Ovis aries: one gene and its partners. The protein of the gene in region 1 purifies or fractionates together with the protein of each later gene. This does not show direct contact. Links are inferred from orthologs where the notes say so. Each region holds a gene or a part of one and is shown in the gene's direction. Other genes may lie near its edges.

What was found.
Region 2: the proteins of NOP56 (region 1) and BRIX1 purify together in Homo sapiens (affinity purification with mass spectrometry; 3 studies listed by BioGRID and IntAct, with this or other methods). This does not show direct contact. The link is inferred for Ovis aries from reciprocal best matches to the Homo sapiens genes NOP56 and BRIX1.
Region 3: the proteins of NOP56 (region 1) and GNL3 purify together in Homo sapiens (affinity purification with mass spectrometry; 4 studies listed by BioGRID and IntAct, with this or other methods). This does not show direct contact. The link is inferred for Ovis aries from reciprocal best matches to the Homo sapiens genes NOP56 and GNL3.

The regions. Positions count from the first base shown.
Region 1 is NC_056066.1:52,250,323-52,254,071, reverse strand, and holds the start of NOP56 (nucleolar protein 56), read left to right. Parts: upstream 1-1,286; 5' UTR 1,287-1,316; coding exon 1,317-1,319; intron 1,320-1,473; coding exon 1,474-1,563; intron 1,564-1,923; coding exon 1,924-2,038; intron 2,039-2,412; exon of another isoform or gene 2,413-2,484; intron 2,485-2,637; coding exon 2,638-2,799; intron 2,800-2,952; coding exon 2,953-3,151; intron 3,152-3,238; exon of another isoform or gene 3,239-3,374; intron 3,375-3,490; coding exon 3,491-3,678; intron 3,679-3,749. UniProt on the Homo sapiens protein: Involved in the early to middle stages of 60S ribosomal subunit biogenesis. Required for the biogenesis of box C/D snoRNAs such U3, U8 and U14 snoRNAs. Part of the small subunit (SSU) processome, first precursor of the small eukaryotic ribosomal subunit.
Region 2 is NC_056069.1:39,391,440-39,394,715, reverse strand, and holds the end of BRIX1 (ribosome biogenesis protein BRX1 homolog), read left to right. Parts: intron 1-174; coding exon 175-224; intron 225-327; coding exon 328-401; intron 402-557; coding exon 558-608; intron 609-734; coding exon 735-836; intron 837-1,816; coding exon 1,817-1,945; intron 1,946-2,188; coding exon 2,189-2,458; 3' UTR 2,459-2,644; downstream 2,645-3,276. UniProt on the Homo sapiens protein: Required for biogenesis of the 60S ribosomal subunit.
Region 3 is NC_056072.1:48,263,076-48,266,824, reverse strand, and holds the start of GNL3 (guanine nucleotide-binding protein-like 3), read left to right. Parts: upstream 1-1,513; 5' UTR 1,514-1,595; coding exon 1,596-1,608; intron 1,609-2,226; coding exon 2,227-2,285; intron 2,286-2,990; coding exon 2,991-3,128; intron 3,129-3,229; coding exon 3,230-3,334; intron 3,335-3,430; coding exon 3,431-3,511; intron 3,512-3,749. UniProt on the Homo sapiens protein: May be required to maintain the proliferative capacity of stem cells. Stabilizes MDM2 by preventing its ubiquitination, and hence proteasomal degradation.

The DNA.
Region 1 (3,749 bases):
TCCAATATATTTTGGAAACTTCTATTTAATGTGGCATTTATAATGCTTTAACATTCTCATGTAACAGATTAATTTTGCAATTCCATTTTAAAACATGAGATGGAGTAACTGATCCAATTCCATTTTAAAAACATGAGATGGAGTCTGAACTCACGATTGTAAGTGGATACAGGCAACAAAATGTAAGCACACATGTAAGCAATATTAAGACTATGATATTAAGATTTATGATTAAAATTTAATCTACTAGATTTTAAGAGCTCAGTACTTGAATCTTGTCAAATAACTGAACTGCTTTAGAAAATACCTTGAATTTATAAATGCACGCTAGTTGTGGGAATTTTAAGTTGTAAAAACCCCCTTAAGATGATTTATTTTTAATTTACCAACATATACCATTTTGGGGTAACCAGGTTTTGGACTTGTAACTCAGACATTATTAAAGCAAAAGTATCAATAATTTCAAAACAGTCTCCTGAGTGCCTTAAAGCTGCCCAGAGGACACGACAGCAGCTCCCGTTCACTTGGAACTAACAGGGTACTAAGTTGGGCAGTGCACCAGGGCGAGTGACACTTGGCCCCGCAGAAGGAAGGTTCTGCCGAAGCAGGGAACAATAAACCGAACCGGAAAAAGATGGGAATCATCTTTCTTTCCTACTTCAGCGCCTGAAGCCTTTATTTTTAAAAATAAAACTGAAAAGCACCAAGTCAGCAATGGGAATCACGACTTCAAAGTCCGCGCCAGCGCCTCAGGCCCAGCTTCCGCCCCAGTGATGAGGAAAGCCAGCGCAGAACCCTGGCCCGGCAGAGGGTAGACCCCTATTGCTGGGTGGGGACGCAGCGGGTCCTGGTATCCTGGGGACGTGGGGCGGGGCCTAGGTCCTGAGATGCCTAGCGCTGCGGAGACTGGGCTCCGCAACAGTTTCTGCTCTGAAGTGTGGCCGCGATCAGTGCGGGGGCCTCCAGCCCGGATCCCACCAAGCTCTGCTGCCTGTAATTTACAGGATGAAAACAAGAGTGAATGAACCAGAAAAGCGCGCCTTTCCAAACCGTTTTGCAGCCTGCAGGGTCCGTTCCGGCCGGCGCGTACCAAGCAACCACGCCGCAGCCGAGACCGGAAAAGGCCGACTTGCAGGCGCTCGCGCCCCTGTCCCCGCCTGCGGGCCGTACCACCCCGGGCGACCCCTCCCGAGGAAAGGGATGGTACCGTCCCCGGCCTCCGATTGGCCGACGAGGCGGGGGCGTGGCCTCTGGAGCCCGGTTCCGCGCGCCAGAGCGCGCTCGCCACAGTGCGAGCCGGACTAGGAGCGAGCGCCATGGTGAGGAGTGGTTGTAGGTTGCGGGCGAGGTGGAGGCCGTGGTTTAGGCCTGGGTTTGGGCTGGAGCGTGGGCCGGGACCAGGGCCTTCCCCGGGGACGGGGCTGGGCAAACGTGAGATAAGCGCTTACTCTGGTGTCCCGGCTCCCTTTTCAGGTGCTGCTGCACGTGCTTTTCGAGCACGCGGTCGGCTACGCGCTTCTGGCGCTGAAGGAGGTGGAGGAGATCAGCCTTCTGCTGCCGCAGGTGGGTGGACATGGTGGGCTAGCCAGCGGCTCCGCAGCCCCTCGGGCCGCGCGGGCCCCAGCATGCACCGCGTGCTCCCACGTGGCCGGCCGCGCGTTGGGAGGTGCGCTGGGCCTGACAGTTCCAAAGTAGGTGGTCCTTACTTGCATTCGTGATTAGAATTGCGTTAGAAGCATTAAAAAGTAAGCTTCCCAGATTCCACCCCATACCAATGAAGCGGAACCGGGATTTGGGACCCATGATCTGTCCATTTTTAGTGTTCGGTTGGTCCTAAGAGTGCTTTCAGGTCCAAGAGCTGCTGCTGCTTTACTGCCCCCTAGAGGCAAGAGGGAGGGAAGAATATCACCTTTCTCCCCCCAGGTGGAGGAGTGCGTGCTGAACCTTGGCAAATTCCACAACATCGTTCGTCTTGTGGCCTTTTGTCCCTTTTCCTCGTCCCAAGTTGCCTTGGAAAATGCCAACGCTGTGTCTGAAGGTGAGTTGGCCACTAAATATTGTAGAGAGATGAGCCTAGATGTAGTTCTTGCTACTGTTAACCCTTTAACAACCTAGGATGTACGCTTTATTTCTTGTAGGCACTGTAGTAATGATTTTTAAGTGAAATCAGGCTGGGGTTGAGGGGCTGGTATAATGGTAGATCCAATCAAATGTGGTTCTCTGCTAGTTTGTTCAGTTGATTGCAAAGGGCAATTTTGATGCCAAAAGCCTGGAGGAAGTTTTAGTCCCAGAAGGCAGATCTGGTACTAAATACATCCATTGTGCTCCAGGGTGTGTTTCAAGCTTTCAATAATATATTTTACACTTAGGTTATGGGGCCTGAGTTCTGTTCTCCTATGGTTGATGCTGGCTTTGCAGTGATGACTTGAGTCTGTCAATCCCCTGAGTGAGTGTAATCACTGATGTCTCCATGTCTCTGAGCAAAGCCTCTGAGTAAGAGGAGGGCTCTAGGCACAGGCCATCTTAGCATACTCTGTAAGATCAGTCTCACTGATCAGCAGTTGAGGTGACAAGATCTCTTTTTACGATTTAAACGTCCTTCAGCATGTTAGTGGGAGCTCTGTTCTTTGCCTTGAGGTGTTGTTCATGAGGACCTCCGCCTGCTCTTGGAGACTCACCTGCCACCCAAAAAGAAGAAAGTACTTCTGGGGGTTGGGGACCCCAAGATAGGTGCGGCTATACAAGAGGAGTTAGGGTACAACTGCCAGACTGGAGGTGTCATAGCCGAGATCCTTCGAGGTGAGACAGTTTTGAAATCTGGAGCTGGTGAGGGGGCGGTGGTTCTGGAAACCTAGCGGGTTGCTTTTTAGAAGCCCTCCTGCTTGTCTGGTACCTATGCATGCAGGTACTAGCTCAGAGCCTTTCCTTACTCACAGTCTCACCCTCTTCTAGGAGTTCGTCTGCACTTCCACAACCTGGTGAAAGGTCTGACCGATTTGTCTGCTTGTAAAGCCCAACTGGGGCTGGGACACAGCTATTCTCGTGCCAAAGTTAAGTTTAATGTGAACCGAGTGGACAATATGATTATCCAGTCCATTAGCCTCCTGGACCAGCTGGATAAGGATATCAATACCTTCTCCATGCGTGTCAGGTAAAGTGCAGGGGTGACCTGAGAAACAAGGTCTTGGGTCTGTGGGTTAGCTAATTTTGAATCCTGAAATCAGGACTGGTAGAGCTGGGCCTCCTGATGCTTACCACAGGCTGTGTTCTTACACTGACTGTATAGAAAGAGGAGGCAGAGTAAACCCACCCCATATACACCTCAGCCCAGGCAGGCCCTTTACCTGGTCTGTATTGTGAATGGGGAGACATGGAGGTTTTGGGATCTGATTTGTTCCGATTTCCTCCAGGGATAAAGTAGATGTGGAGAGGGCTGAGTGTAGCTTTGAAGCATGGCAACTGGGCCAGGGAGTGATTGTGTTCTTTGCAGGGAGTGGTATGGGTATCACTTTCCTGAGCTGGTAAAGATCATCAATGACAATGCTACGTACTGCCGCCTTGCTCAGTTCATTGGAAACCGGAAGGAGCTTAATGAAGAAAAGTTGGAGAAGCTGGAGGAGCTGACAATGGATGCAGCCAAGGCTAAGGCTATTTTGGATGCCTCGCGGTCTTCCATGGGTCAGTACAGAGGCTAGCAGTGAAAATAAGGTATGGGGCTCTGAATATTGGGCTTCTGCATTCATACTTGA
Region 2 (3,276 bases), on another chromosome or scaffold:
TCTTAGTTCCCAGACCAGGGATCAAACCTGTGCTCCCTTGCATTGAAAGTACAGGGTGTTAACCACTAGACCACCAGGGAAGTCTCTGTGGTATCTTTTAAATTGAGCTGGTAGTAAGCTTTTACTACATTCTAAATTCTAATTAGTTGAAAAAGCTTCTTTTATATTTTTTAGGCTTTCAAATTCACCTCATGGACCATCTGCTAAATTCCTTGTTCAAAATAGTAAGTTGACTCAATTTAAATTTTTTTGTGAGAAAATTAAAAATAATCTTTTGGGATAATTGTGCCAAAGTTATAACTGTTTTTGTTGTTATAATTTTTCTAGTTCATACCCTAGCTGAGCTAAAGATGACTGGAAACTGTTTAAAAGGTTCTCGGCCCCTCTTGTCTTTTGACCCTGTAAGTTTCTCATTCAGTTTATGAGGTTTAATTTTCTTACTGTGCATGGTTGTGTTTTTTTGAGTGGATATAGTTGTATAATTCAGTTTAGTTAATAAAACACAATTTTAAGCACAATTAATGTTGTCAAATAATATGTTCACTTTATTCTTACAGGTTTTTGATGAATTACCACATTATGCTTTGTTAAAAGAGCTCTTAATTCAGGTAAATATCTTTACTAGAAACTGTTTTTAGTAAAATATTATAAATAAGTGTCTTCCTTTTAACTTTATCTAAAACACACATGGTATGTCATAGAGTACAGAACTAACGTGTCCCTTTTTCCACTAGATCTTCAGTACACCACGGTATCATCCCAAAAGCCAGCCATTTGTGGACCATGTGTTTACATTCACCATTTTGGATAATAGGATATGGTTTCGGAACTTTCAGGTTAGCTTATATTTTTAATTATATAAGTTAGGATATATAGTGTTTATGATATAGAATAGGCAAATGATACTCTTTTTCTCTTACATAGCTTTCTTTTCCCTACAGACTTGTAGTAAATAACCCCTATTTCATAACCTAAGTTCATGGCTATCAGCTGAGTATGGATTTTCTCACAAGTCACTAGACATTGAGTAAAATATAAGTTTCTCTCCTAAGAGGTTAGAGTCTGCTGGGGCTGGGGTGTGGTTTTAGACTTAGAAAAACATAGCCCCCGTAGAAAACATTTAATGAGAACTATCAGATGAGTCATACAGTGATTGATTCAGGAGGAGAGGTGGATGAAAACAGCAAGACAGAATTTCAGACAGCGTGTGAAATAAACTGGGCTTTTTTCTGCTTGTGTTAAGCAGAAAAGATGTGAGTTAAACATATCCCCTTCTTAACCTCTGAATGTAGCCCTACCTTAAGCAAAAAATAGTAATATTTTTGGTTCAGAAGTTGCTCCTTAATTCCACAGTCAGTAGCCATTCAAAAATAAATTTTGCCATATACCCTTTTATATGCCTTTTAATCTAATTTGAATTAGATTTATAAAAACAACTCAAGGATTGATTTAAATTTTGAAAGAGTGCCCCATAGGGTGCTTGAATACATTTTGTTCTCATGGTTGCAGTTTTAAATATTTGACCAGTTTTGCAAGAAGACATGTGTTGTGAGAAGCTAGATACAGACCAGATTGAAATGACTCAATTTTAAAGACACACTGAAAAGACATTTATATTTTCCTATGGCAGCTACCTGTAACCAGTGATATATTTCAGAAAATATTGATGATTTGGCATTTGCCAAGTTTCCCTTCCACCTTAACTTTATTGGTTGTTAGTTCTTTTAAGCACATTTGTAATGAGGATATAGCCCATGTACCATTTAGAAGTATTTTATTCAAATCAAAATGAAATGTTTCCTTTTTTTAATTAAAGATCATTGAAGAAGATGCTGCTCTTGTAGAAATAGGACCCCGTTTTGTCTTAAATCTTATAAAGATTTTCCAGGGAAGTTTTGGAGGACCAACTTTGTATGAAAATCCTCACTACCAGTCACCAAACATGGTAAGCTGTTTCTGTTCACTGGTCCTTGATGTCCTAAAACTTTTGGGCCAAAGTAATTCTGTCAAATAAGTGTTCTGTTAACTGTGAAACTGAATTTAGTTTTTGCTGCATCCAGTCTTACAGATTACTTTTTTTTTGATGATGCAGGGTAAAGGGAAGTAGGTTTCATAAGTGAATGTCCTTGCCATGTATAAAATGTTTATTTTTATTCAAAAGCACCTTTCATATTTTTTTTGTTTCTAGCATCGGCGTGTCATAAGATCCATCACAGCTGCAAAATACAGAGAGAAACAGCAAGTGAAAGATGTGCAGAAGCTGAGAAAGAAAGAACCAAAGACTATTCTTCCCCATGATCCCACTGCAGATGTTTTTGTTACTCCGGCTGAGGAAAAGCCAGTAGAAATACAGTGGGTGAAACCAGAGCCAAAAGTCGATTTGAAAGCCAGAAAGAAAAGGATTTACAAAAGACAAAGAAAAATGAAACAGAAGATGAGCAGTGGGAATGCAAAATGAATCAATGGAGAACTAATTTGATTTCAGTTGTTTTATATTTATTTTGTGTTCAGTGTGTAAATACTTTTGTTATTTGCGATGACCTTACATCTAATTAGTGTGACATTTAAAAGAAAAAGCTTAAGATTTTGTGACTTTGCTCCGGTTTGGTCTGTGTTTTTCTAAATAAAATATCACCAGAACTCATCACCTAATTTCTGTTTTTCTTTTTCAAGCTTTACATATTACTAAAAACCTAGCACACTTAAGGTTTAGGCCTACTGTCTTGAATTAAAATTTTCAGTTTATTAAAGCTGAAATTCAGGCAGATTTACTGGATTGTTATTTTATGTAAAACAGTATTAGGCACTTTGAGGGCATCGTTTCAGATGGTACAGTGAGGGTAGAGTGCTAGCAGGGGAAAGCATCTTACTGAAGTTTGAGTCCCTGAGTCACAAGGCATGGAAAGAGCCAACTTCTCTTGTTTACTTACCTTGAAAAAATATGAGAAAGATATTTAGATTTTGCATAAGTTGATATATGTATTGAAAGTGTTTTGTAGATTACAAATTTAATTTAGAAGCAGTGGGTGCAAATTACTTAACAGTAAAAGGAAGAAAAACGGAACAGTCAGGGCACCAGAACATGTGAATTTTTCCTGTTACGAAAGAACTTTATTTGAAGCAGAGAGCACTGGGCTTATCACCCTGAAGAACGATTAGTAATAGGATTCTGGGTGCAAGTAGCTGGGGACAGGGTAGGGCCATGCATGTGGGGTTTTGTCACTTTTTTCCTGCTAATCATTTTCCCCTCCTTGCTCTGCAACATTAGTAATTGCA
Region 3 (3,749 bases), on another chromosome or scaffold:
AAAAACTGAAGTGTGAACAAACTATATGTATTATGTTGCAGCCTGTGTTTGCCTTCGACAATATTCCTGAGTCAACATTCTCACACATGATGTTGGAAGCCTTGAAACTAGCCTATCACACAGATACAGCAACGTACTAATCTTAGGAGTTTGGGTAGAACGTTAATACTTTACGTATTTCGGACACTCCCAAAGCCCAAGAGGTCAAAACCCTTCTATTTATCCACACATGTCTGTTACTGATTTGACTTACTTTTTCAAAAAATAACTTCCAATTTTTAGACATAAAATATGGGAAACCTGTTAACAAGTGATAAAGCAGAAATTATACTGCTCTTTTGTATTGAATCTACTTTGCTTCTGAATTGTACTTGGGAAAAGAGCTCACTACTAGATGGAAAAAAAAACCCCTAGAAATCACTGAGGAGGGATAATTTGCTGGAAAACAAGTTAATAGTAATGCTTTATACTCCAACATATGTTCCTATAATCGTAGAAATAATTTCTATATCCATATACCGTGTATTTGTCATTTGTTTTTCAGGATTCCTCCTTAATTTCTGCCTATCTTTCTTCACCTTTAAGTCATCAACATCTACCCTATAACAAAGAAACTATGCTTCTTTTTCAATAAAAAAATTTTGTTGAGATGGAAAATATTAAAAGCCAAAAATGTACACAATTTTAAAACCTCGATTCTTTGTGGTGTTGCACGGAAAAAATTATATCTGCCCTCCATGACAAATACAACTCCCACTGATTTAAGAAAACACTCAGTCCGAACAGTCATCCGGAAAGTATTAAAAAAAATTTTTTTTTACTAGGAGAGTTTGTGTCTGAACCGTCAAGAAACGACAACAAAAAAAAGAAGCCCTTAACTGCTGAGGAAATGTAAGACTTTCCCAACCTGTCACCGGCACGGGGAACTAAGGGAAACGTTGACAGCTTTGAAGCTGCCCGCGACGGGAGCTCGGCCAGCCGCGGGGGGCGGGAAAGCGGGGCGCGGGGAGTTTTCGGGCCGCGGCGCGCCTTTGTCCCTGGCGGCAGGTGCGGCGAGGCTGCCGGGCCTGTCCCGAAGCCCCGCCGCCGGGCCCCGCCCCGCGCTCCCGGCCCGACCGGCGCGTCCCCACCATCGGGGCGGGGCCTCCGCCGCTGCTCCCGCCCGCCCGGGCCCACACAAAGGCCCGGCAGTCGGCCGAGAGGAAGCGGCCCCGCCCGCCCCGGGCCCGGCCTTACCCAGCCGCTCCGCCGCCTGCAGCCCCGGCCGCCGACAGCCGCGCCCCGCCCCGTGGAAGCCACGGCTGCTGCTATTGCTCCTCCGGCCGCGGCCGCTGCCGTCGCTCCAGCACCCGCCGCCCTCACCGCCCTCACCCCTCCCGGTACCGCCGCAAAACCAGTTCCGCGGCCGTCGAGCGAACCCGGCTCCGCACGACACTGCGTGCGCGCGCACACGGGCTAGTGGCGGCGTGCTTTACGGCAGCGGCGTGAGTGCGTGACGCTCGGCGGAGGCCTCAGTTGGCACGTGGCGCCTGCAGGGGCACGTTGTACCTGGGAGTGCTGGTGTAACTTCGGGCGCAGGCCTTTCGGCTTCCACTATGAAGCGGCCGAGTGAGTGTGGTCAGGGGGCGGGCGTGGAGGGGGCGTTTGTGTCTGATAGTCGACCAACCCACCAGGGTGCTCCGTCTCCCTGATCCCGCCTAGAACCGAGGGTTGGAAGGCCCCACGTGAGCAGCGCGGTCTTGTGTGCGGAAAGAAAGTCTGGGCCCCAAGGATGGAGATCAGGCCAGAGAGTCATGAGGACCCAGTGTCTGAGCCAGGTTTCGGGCCTGGCGTTTTCCCTTGTGCGGCCTCGTTCGGTCTGGCTCTGGTGAGGTCTGAAAACACGCACTGTTAGATTTTCTTCTGTGGTTCGTGCTGTTTGACAGGAAGTGGCAGTTCTGGGGTTATATGCTCCTGTGTACGATCCCAGTCTAATTTAGAAAGGTGGAAGTAGGGAAGCTGGATCTACAACGAATCTGTTAAGTTAGACTCTGGGACTTGGCTGGTCCGTGATTATTTTTACCACGCGCCCCACAATATTATTAAATTATGTTTCAGAGCCAGTTAATGCAAAAATGGATGTGACCTAAAGCGCGGTCATCAAAAGCTAAACTAGCTGATCATTTGTGGATAAAATCGATTTTGAAAAACAATAAATTAATCCTTTTGTGATCTGTTGCTTTGTAGAATTAAAGAAAGCAAGTAAACGCATGACCTGCCACAAGCGGTATAAAATCCAAAAAAAGGTAAGTCTTGGAAGAGTTATGAAACTTAAAGTTGCTCAGTCGTGCCCGACTCTTTATGAGGTCAGGGACTATATGCTCCGTAGAATTCTCCAGGCCAGAATACTGGAGTGGTAGCCTTTCCCTTCTCCAGGTGATCTTCCCAACCCAGGGATCAAACCCAGGTCTCCCACATTACAGGCGGATTCTTTACCAGCTGAGCCACAAGGGAAGCCCAAGAATGCTGGAGTGGGTAGCCTAGCCCTTCTCCAGCGGATCTTCCCAATCCAGGAATCAAACCCGGGTCTCCTGCATCGAAAGTGGATTCTTTACCAACTGAGTTACCAGGGAAGCCTGGAAGAGGCTAAATTGATTTCCTGCCCCAGAGATGTGGGTTAACATTAGTATGATTTCACTAGTGGAGGTTTAACTAGAATAGAGGTCAGATATACCTGGTCAGGAGGTCCGATATGGTGCAAGCTCTTAGGGAGCAGAAATAATTCAGTGACATGTCTGTAAATTTTGATCACCATAGTAGCAATTGCTGCAAAAAGAGTCCTGGTGACATTTTCTTGCTGTTTTATACATAAACATGCATGTTCTGTTTTATGGTTAAAGTTCTATGATTCTAGGTTATTTCACAGATATAACTTAAACTACAGCCACATTGGCTACTCACTGGAATTCTCTTTATTATTTCTGTAAACTGACGAAATACCATTATGATAGGTTCGAGAGCACCATCGAAAGTTGAGGAAAGAGGCTAAAAAACGGGGTCGAAAGAAGCCTAGGAAAGACCCAGGAGTTCCAAACAGTGCTCCTTTTAAGGAGGCTCTTCTTCGGGAAGCTGAGCTAAGGAAACAGCAGGTAAGATGTATTAGCTCACACTTTCAACAAGTGTGTGGGTGTGTGTAAAGTTACAACAGCAAGTCACTGGCTCATGCATTTCTCTTGTGGCTTGAACACAGCTTGAAGAACTGAAACAGCAGCAGAAACTTGACAGGCAAAAGGAACAGAACAAGAAAAGAAAACTTGAAACTGACCCTGATGTTGAGCTATCTAACACAGAACCTGTAAGAGAAGTAGGGGTTACAGTCATGAAAAGTGGAAATGAGTCACGTCTACTGACCTTCTAATTGTGTATCCTTTCCCTTGTCTTTATCCCCCAGGAATCAGGGCAACGCAAAGCTAAGAGAGCCAAGACAAGCAAACAGAGTCCGAAGATGCTGCACTGCCAGGAACTTAAAAAGGTATCATAGTCTAGGTTAGTGTCTAAAAGTGGTTGTGAAGTTTAAAAGACTTAAGAGTCATCTTTCCTTTCTCCTGACACCAACTTTATAGAAGTGGAAGTAGCGTTCTCTTGAGCGGGAAGAATTCTCCAGCAAGTTGGCTTGGTCTGTTACATTTAGCTGAAAGAAATATTAGAAAAGGGGGGGTGGCCATAGTCCCTGTAACCATTATATGGTCACACCAGGTCTTAGTTGCAGC